3 linked regions of the Kluyveromyces lactis genome follow. The protein of the gene in region 2 binds, or shares a complex with, the protein of the main gene of each other region. Links are inferred from orthologs where the notes say so. Each region holds a gene or a part of one and is shown on either strand. Other genes may lie near its edges. The genes, in order: PCC1, CGI121 and GON7.

Region 1 (2,314 bases), on a different chromosome or scaffold from region 2:
TGGATGGTGGAGTATTCTTTCCCTCTAACTCTAGTAAGTTAAGAAGTTGCCCATCACAGCAAACTTCAAAGTTGCTCTTTTGTGACGGATCGTCTAGTACTTCGACGTTAAAACAAAATGGCAGTGGTCTGTAAAACGTTCCATTCTGTAAGATGTTTGAATGCTTCGTATTTGAATAACCCATAAATACCCTTTTCTGGAATTCTACTCTATCCAGAGAAGACTGGTATGCCAATACATGTAGTTGTGATTCCAATGGATCAGAATCGGGAGATGGCATATAAGTTGGCTCCAGATTTGTGGTATTTATTAACGCAAAATAACTAAAAGATCCTTCCAGAATATCGGGAATAGAGACGCGAGATTCGAGCTTGTATTCTCTTAAAATTCGCTGGCTAGCAACTCTAAACCTTTCAATGCCCATTTTCTGGTACTCATCTTCTTCGCAGAGATGAAGTAAATTTGCATGAAATCCCAGTGACAAAATTATGAAGAATTTAAGGACATAACCGTTGTCAAAAGTTGCCCTATACAACGGGAAATCGTTGCAGGACAACTTACCATTGACAAATTGTGAGAATATGACAGCTGGATCCATCAACTTCAAAGAGCTTGCCCATGCATTTCCTGTACCCATTGGGAATGGAAGCACTGAAATACAGTCGTGGTTCAAGGGCAGGTTATTAACGAATTCTGATATCGATGTATCACCAGAAAGAAAGAGAACAGTGTACTGTCTAGTGCTGTCAATGCTCGAGGCCAGTTCTATGACAGATGACTTGGATGTAGTTTTTATTAGGCGGTAAGGGACAATAACCTGCTCAAAGAATTGTGCTATGACGTTCGTGGCGAAATCGCAGTCTTTATCCCGGCCAGATCCTGAAAACACCGAATCTACGATGAGCAGTTCCCCCGAATATTCAAATTTCTTATTAGCGAGAAGCTTCTCATCATCTAAGAGTTTCGAACCAAGTTGGTACGATTTAGCACCTTCTGCTAAAAGCTTTGTGACAATTGTAAATGAGACACCGTTATATATCCCTAATTCTTGTTTAGTTACGTTAGACTCGTCAGGCATTCTGGCCATGAGAAAATTTTATCCTTGAAGATCGGCCTGCCAATCCTTAGCTGATAATAAATTATCTTCGCACCTGGTACCAGGACGGGCATTTTGATAGTAAGTCAGATATTAAAGACTTAAATCCATGCTTGATCTAAACTACCTTCAAACTTGATGTTCTGTTATTTTTACCCAATTAGAAATCAAAAAAGTCTTCGAAAAACGCATCCGTACTGTGTGTGGTTCATGTTCAGGATGAACTTATTGACTTTGAGATCTTTATGAATGATACACACTTGAAACTTGCTGCAGTAGTGAGTTCAATCAGCGGATAAATAGTACTCTTTTAAGATGAATAAAGGAGACACGTCTTTCGAGCACTCTTTGTATGTTATTTCTGGCTCTTATGAATGCAAGTTTATAACTTGAAATACTAACAAGTTGTGATGTAAAATGCCGTACAGACATTTGGAAATACCATTTGAAAGCATTAAACAAGCTGATGTAGCAAGGAAAGTGCTGCTTCCAGACCCCATCATGAAACCAGAGGATTTCCAAGTTACTTATTCTACGCAAGACACCAAACTTATATGTGATTTTGAAAGCGTTGACGAGCGTATTTTACGTGTAGGTGTGAACAGTGTCATTGAATCAATCAAGACAATCGTAGAAACTATTGATGAGTTGTGCTAATGCAAACAGAACAGTACACGTTCGGGGTGCCTTTTCATCATCTTCCCATCTTTCTATTACTTTCTAACCTATGGTACTATGAAATTTCTTAAGGCAGAAAAACTAAACGCAGAACAATTTGTGTCATTGCATTCGTTATTCATATTATGCAGGAACGAAAGTGAAGAAAAAAGTTAAGGATCAAGCCTAGCAATATTTACCAACAGTGTCATGAAATCCCTAAGTCTATAGCCAAGTTCTACAATAAAGCATCGTACTGATTAGCGACAATTCGTATCCATGCATTAGAATCAAAGAAGACCGTCGTCATGTGAGATGTCGTTACCATTTCGAGTTGTGGAGACACGCAGAGTACATCACCAGCTTTCAGACGAAGAAAAGAAAAATGATTGAGGTAATATGTAAAGGTTTGGCAAACAGATACAAACCGGTCGTAGAACTTTTCCTTTCCCCTTCCGTTTCCAAGCCAACTTATTAATGTATATATACATATGCCTTACTATCAATTTTTTAAATCTTACACAAATAAGCAGTTCAACATGTCGACTGTCTGATAATAAT
Region 2 (2,433 bases):
GGAAGTTATTGAAAATGTGAAAAAGACTGTCAAGCTAAAGAAATCCTCTGCCAGAAGGAAGCTCGAAGAATTAAATAAAGTGTTAAGAAACAATCCTTACATGACAATGACAAATGGTAGAATGAAGAAGAAAGATACTGTACCGTTCACACCATTCAATGGGGACAGGGATTTACACAAAAGATACGAATTGGTTGAAAACGAGTATAATGATTCTTTCATCAGAGACTTACAAAAGAAGAAGGAATATATAGCCTCAGGATTCAGGGCGGACTTCATTTATGATAGAATGTTAACAGAGGCATTCATGGGTCTTGGTTGTATCATTAGCGAAGAATTACAATCCTCTTAGTTGTATCGCGTTGACGGCAAGTGTTGATAACTCTTCGTTTGATACATCTCCTACTTTATTCAATTTGTAATTCTACCGAAAAAAAAAACACATAGTACAATGGTAAAGAGCTCGGTAGCTCTTTATCCTCATCATAATCATATAGCATTTAGGTTAGTAATCTATTCATTATTAAGAGTCTTCTCATTTGTTCATAACTTATCACAAGGAATACATACCGTTTTGATAATTTCTTTATCGGCAGATGTAGAAAACTCATCATCCGAGACTGGAACTAGGTCCCCATCAACGGAAGCATTGCCATCATAGGGTTCTTCATTACTGTCTTCAATGATTTTGATCACAATTATATCAGTTGTTCCTTCCTTTATACCAAATCTGTTCAATGCATCGCCAATGTTCGAACTAGGAGATAGTGATAAAATGCATTCAGAATGGATAGTTCTTGTCCGCATTCTATTGTACTCTGTTTCCAAAATAGCCTTATAGATGGCACTCGACAATTGTTCAACGGATATCACAGTTTTGGAGTCGATGTATGCAAAAGGTAATTCAGCCAATTTGGATCGTAGCTCAGAAGAATTGGTAACATTGTTATACTTCTGAACATGAATAGTATACTCCTGAAACTGAGGAATCTTGTACTTCAAAACTATTCCAGCCATTTGTCTTGTGATGAGCTCTTGGAACTTCTTGGATGCAAGTCGCCTACTATCGGTCCTTCTTTTAACTTCACTTTCTGATTATCTGTACTGTTACTGACTTACTATTTAAATCTTTCAAATCAATCCGAGTAGTTTCTAGCGTAGAAAGATTGATAGAAAACCATGAGTACACAAACTTTACAAAAGGTTCAGAACAAGAAAACACAATAAGTGATCACTTTGCTATATCAACGGTATATGTACTGTCAATGGAGCTTCCAGACGAGGAAAACGTTTGGGATAGTGTTTTTGAGGAAAGGCAGTTGAGCGAAGTAGTACGGGATCAAGGACCAAATGATCTCGAACGACCAGCAGCGCATAAAGAACCAATTGCTACCGAACAACCACTGGGGAATAAGCTTGAGAATCAGAAAGATGATGATGATGACGAATATATTAGAAAAGTTCGTACAGCTGTAGAACAATTCGAAAAGGCAGGCTTCTTCGAGGATTTAGACGATACTAAAAAGGGTTCAAAAACAAAAGCCATGGTATATAAGCTAGCAGACGAGGTGATAGCCCGACATAAAGACAAACTCTTACGCATAAGAGACCCAAATTATGATAAGTGGTCTGAACCATTAAAAACCCCCATGATAGATAAATATCATGAAATCAAAGAAGAATGGAGACGTGAGGAAACGAACCACGGTTCCAGTAGTTTAAACAACAGTTCAATGACTACACAGAATGTTACATTTGCATGGAGTTCAAATGCTCATCGACCGGAGCTGACCGCACCAAAGAAGCCTTTGGAACCGCATTCCAATAAGAAATCAACAAATGAAATACTACGGAGTAAAGCAATGAAAAGCGCTCATGAATTAAGAAGTAAGCAAATTCTGCTCAATAAACTGCGGGATAAAAATGATAGAAACAATCTGCCTTCACAGGATGGTGATGATGTCAAGCCGAAATTTAAAATGGATCCCTTGGAACCATTTGTCGCCAAAGCTTTACCGAGAGAGAAGAAGAAGCGACCAAAGGAGAAAAGGAAGAGCAAATTTTGGTTTTGGGGATCCCTTACCCATCATACTGACGAAGGAAACCACAGAGACAAAGCTAGGTCGCCAGAGCTTGAAGATTATAAAATTGGTGTTGTATCACCGAATTCGCGGTCCCCCACGTTATCGATTCCTTTCTCTGATCCCGATAACACTCAGACTATTACCAATAACGCAGTATCGGACAACATTAACCATCACCTGTCGCTAATAGACCTCGACGATGACGAGGAACACTTAAAGTGTTCAACGCCACCGTTAATACTGTGATACGTACTTTTTTTAGGCCTAATATATTTATTTCTCATCCTATTTAAATATCATCTACATTAGCACTGTAACTATATACCTTTTTTTGAGCCGGCGTTATTAT
Region 3 (2,456 bases), on a different chromosome or scaffold from region 2:
ATCTGGAAATGCTCTCAACCTGTTAAACCACCAAATAACCTTTATAAGACCGGTTCTGGTCTATATATTATTGATTTGAATTTGTACTTGAACTTAAACTGCGTTAAATAATATCGTTATCACACACTCCACAATTTACCAGTAATAGACCCACAGAGATTGTTCCTGTGAACGTACTCGTTTATATATCAGTACTCAGAATATCTAGAGTAAACCACGGGTTAGAATGAACGCACTCAAGTCAATCTGTAACGAAGATAGTCAAGTTTGTTATTTGAGTCAGGCATAGATACCAGGCCTTTAAAAGAACGAGATGACAGGGGAAAGACAAAGCCAACGAGGGGCATTTCATGTTGGAAACATTGACTCAAAACCGGGTAATGACAATAGAATACAAGGCACGTGATTATCACATGCTTCAATTACCCGGATAACAATGGTGATAACTCGAAGAGTTTCTTACTGGTAAAGACGCGATAAACGTAAATACCAGCAAATGCACTCGTTTCATGACAGCATAAACATTACAATATACGCCTCTGATATCTAATTTGTCACAAGAGAAACTAGAATCTCCATTTGCAATGCGAAACATTGCCACGGTTTCTCTTTTCCCGCATCTGCATGTTCTTTCTTATTGTAAATGTGCCATTTCTTACTCTCCGTTCATATACATTTTTGTTTATAAAGACATTTGATATAATTCGGTTTTATAAATTACCTTAACAAATATCAAGACTGAATTAGTATGAGAAGAATACGTGTGAAAATACAGTTATACTTCCCAGCCCAGTGATAAATTATCATTATCATTAAACAATTAAACACCCAATGTTCAGATTAGCCCAACGCCGTGCCTTTTCGGCCACTGCCCGCACCAATGATTTTGCCAAGATGTCCATTATCGGCCGTATTGGTAGCGAATACCAAGAGTTTACTACTGCTAACGATACTCGTTACTTGAAATACTCCATTGCTTCTCAGCCAAGAAAGGACAGCAACACAAACTGGTTCAATGTCACTGTTTTCAACACTAACCACATCAATTTCATGACACAATACGTCAAGAAAGGTGCTTTGGTTTACATCGAAGCTGATGCTTCTAACTATACTTTCGAAAGAGAAGATGGTTCCAGGGGCCAAAGTTTGAGTTTGGTTCAAAGGGATATCAACTTGTTGAAGAACCCAAAGGCACCTGAAACTGAAGAAGAACAACAAGCTTAAGAATGCTGTGATCTGTTAACCAATTCGTGTTGTTTTCTCTCGGCTGCTAATAATGTATTATTCCACATGGAGTATTTTTTTGACTACCTCTATATACTCTCTCTGTCTCTTAGTAATTACGTATAAATACTGTTTTTATCTAATAAGTTCTATCAAGGACATCTCGAATCTCACTCCCAGCCTTTACTTCTACTAGTATGCCTTTTTTTTTCCCCCATTGTGTCACAGGACATGTTCTGATGAATAGCATTTCTTATTTATCATATTGTCAAGATTTCTAATGTTAAATCATCATCTCATCTCATCAACAAGGTATTAAAAAGATAAAAAAGGGTATCGAACACAAGGATCAACCAATGTCTTTACCACACGCTACATATACCGGACCCAAATCAACTCATGAATTCGAAGTCGATCCTTCTGACCCCAGGTACCAGACTACGGAGGGAAGAACTACTGGTGCTTCAGATTATGTATTGAAACAAGGGCATCAAGACGTCGATAAACCTAGTGACCCAAAGAAGGTTGATAACGTCAATAGTAAGACAGGAATCGATCAATATACCACGCTTTCGCAACTGCGGATGCAATTGACCGGATTACAAGACGATATCAATGAGTATTTGACTGAGAAGATCAATCACGTGAAAAAACCTCGTAACAGCAAGCAAGAACAAGAGATAAACGATCTATTGGATGGTTCTGAAGAAACCTGAAGATTCTGCAGATCGAGAGCTTCGAATTCTGTCGTTTGAGTGTTGAATGGTATTTATACGTACTTATTATCTGTTTGTATATAAATAGTGTCATCAAATTGTACTATATCGTTCCGGTTTTTTGATCATCTTAAAGTTGGTGAGTCAACAGATTGTGACATCTCTTCAGAGAGAAATAGGTACTGGTATACACCGCCAAGAGTCCTAGAAGGACAGCTGAATAACATCAAAGTGTAATCACGCCATGGGCAAGCTATTTCGGGTCGATTTGACCGTTCTTTCTTTTGTCTGCTTGCAATATTGGATCAACTATGTGGATAGAATCGGTTTCACCAATGCTTATGTTTCCGGTATGAAAGAGGATCTCGGGTTCAAGTCAAATCAGTTCAATATCGCTAATACGTGTTTCACCGTTGGATATTTGTTAGGTATGATCCCTCATAATTTGATTCTATTGAGAATCAAACCTCGGATTTGGTTGAGTTTCTGCACTTTTGCTTGGGGTATTCTGACATT

What was found.
Region 1: CGI121 (region 2) and PCC1 share a complex: the UniProt entries of both Saccharomyces cerevisiae proteins name them as parts of the EKC/KEOPS complex. The link is inferred for Kluyveromyces lactis from reciprocal best matches to the Saccharomyces cerevisiae genes CGI121 and PCC1.
Region 3: CGI121 (region 2) and GON7 share a complex: the UniProt entries of both Saccharomyces cerevisiae proteins name them as parts of the EKC/KEOPS complex. The link is inferred for Kluyveromyces lactis from reciprocal best matches to the Saccharomyces cerevisiae genes CGI121 and GON7.

The regions. Positions count from the first base shown.
Region 1 is NC_006037.1:48,872-51,185, reverse strand, and holds PCC1 (chromatin DNA-binding EKC/KEOPS complex subunit PCC1), read left to right. Parts: upstream 1-1,411; coding exon 1,412-1,446; intron 1,447-1,524; coding exon 1,525-1,753; downstream 1,754-2,314. Other genes in the region: KLLA0_A00550g (uncharacterized protein), read right to left, coding at 1-1,087. UniProt on the Saccharomyces cerevisiae protein: Component of the EKC/KEOPS complex that is required for the formation of a threonylcarbamoyl group on adenosine at position 37 (t(6)A37) in tRNAs that read codons beginning with adenine.
Region 2 is NC_006039.1:1,297,947-1,300,379, forward strand, and holds CGI121 (Cgi121p), read right to left. Parts: upstream 1,018-2,433; coding exon 544-1,017; downstream 1-543. Other genes in the region: TFIIH/NER complex subunit TFB3, read left to right, coding at 1-352; LFT1 (Lft1p), read left to right, coding at 1,266-2,330; KLLA0_C14916g (uncharacterized protein), read right to left, coding at 2,374-2,433. UniProt on the Saccharomyces cerevisiae protein: Component of the EKC/KEOPS complex that is required for the formation of a threonylcarbamoyl group on adenosine at position 37 (t(6)A37) in tRNAs that read codons beginning with adenine.
Region 3 is NC_006037.1:564,596-567,051, forward strand, and holds GON7 (chromatin DNA-binding EKC/KEOPS complex subunit GON7), read left to right. Parts: upstream 1-1,580; coding exon 1,581-1,940; downstream 1,941-2,456. Other genes in the region: KLLA0_A06127g (uncharacterized protein), read right to left, coding at 1-2; RIM1 (Rim1p), read left to right, coding at 832-1,224; FEN2 (Fen2p), read left to right, coding at 2,185-2,456. UniProt on the Saccharomyces cerevisiae protein: Component of the EKC/KEOPS complex that is required for the formation of a threonylcarbamoyl group on adenosine at position 37 (t(6)A37) in tRNAs that read codons beginning with adenine.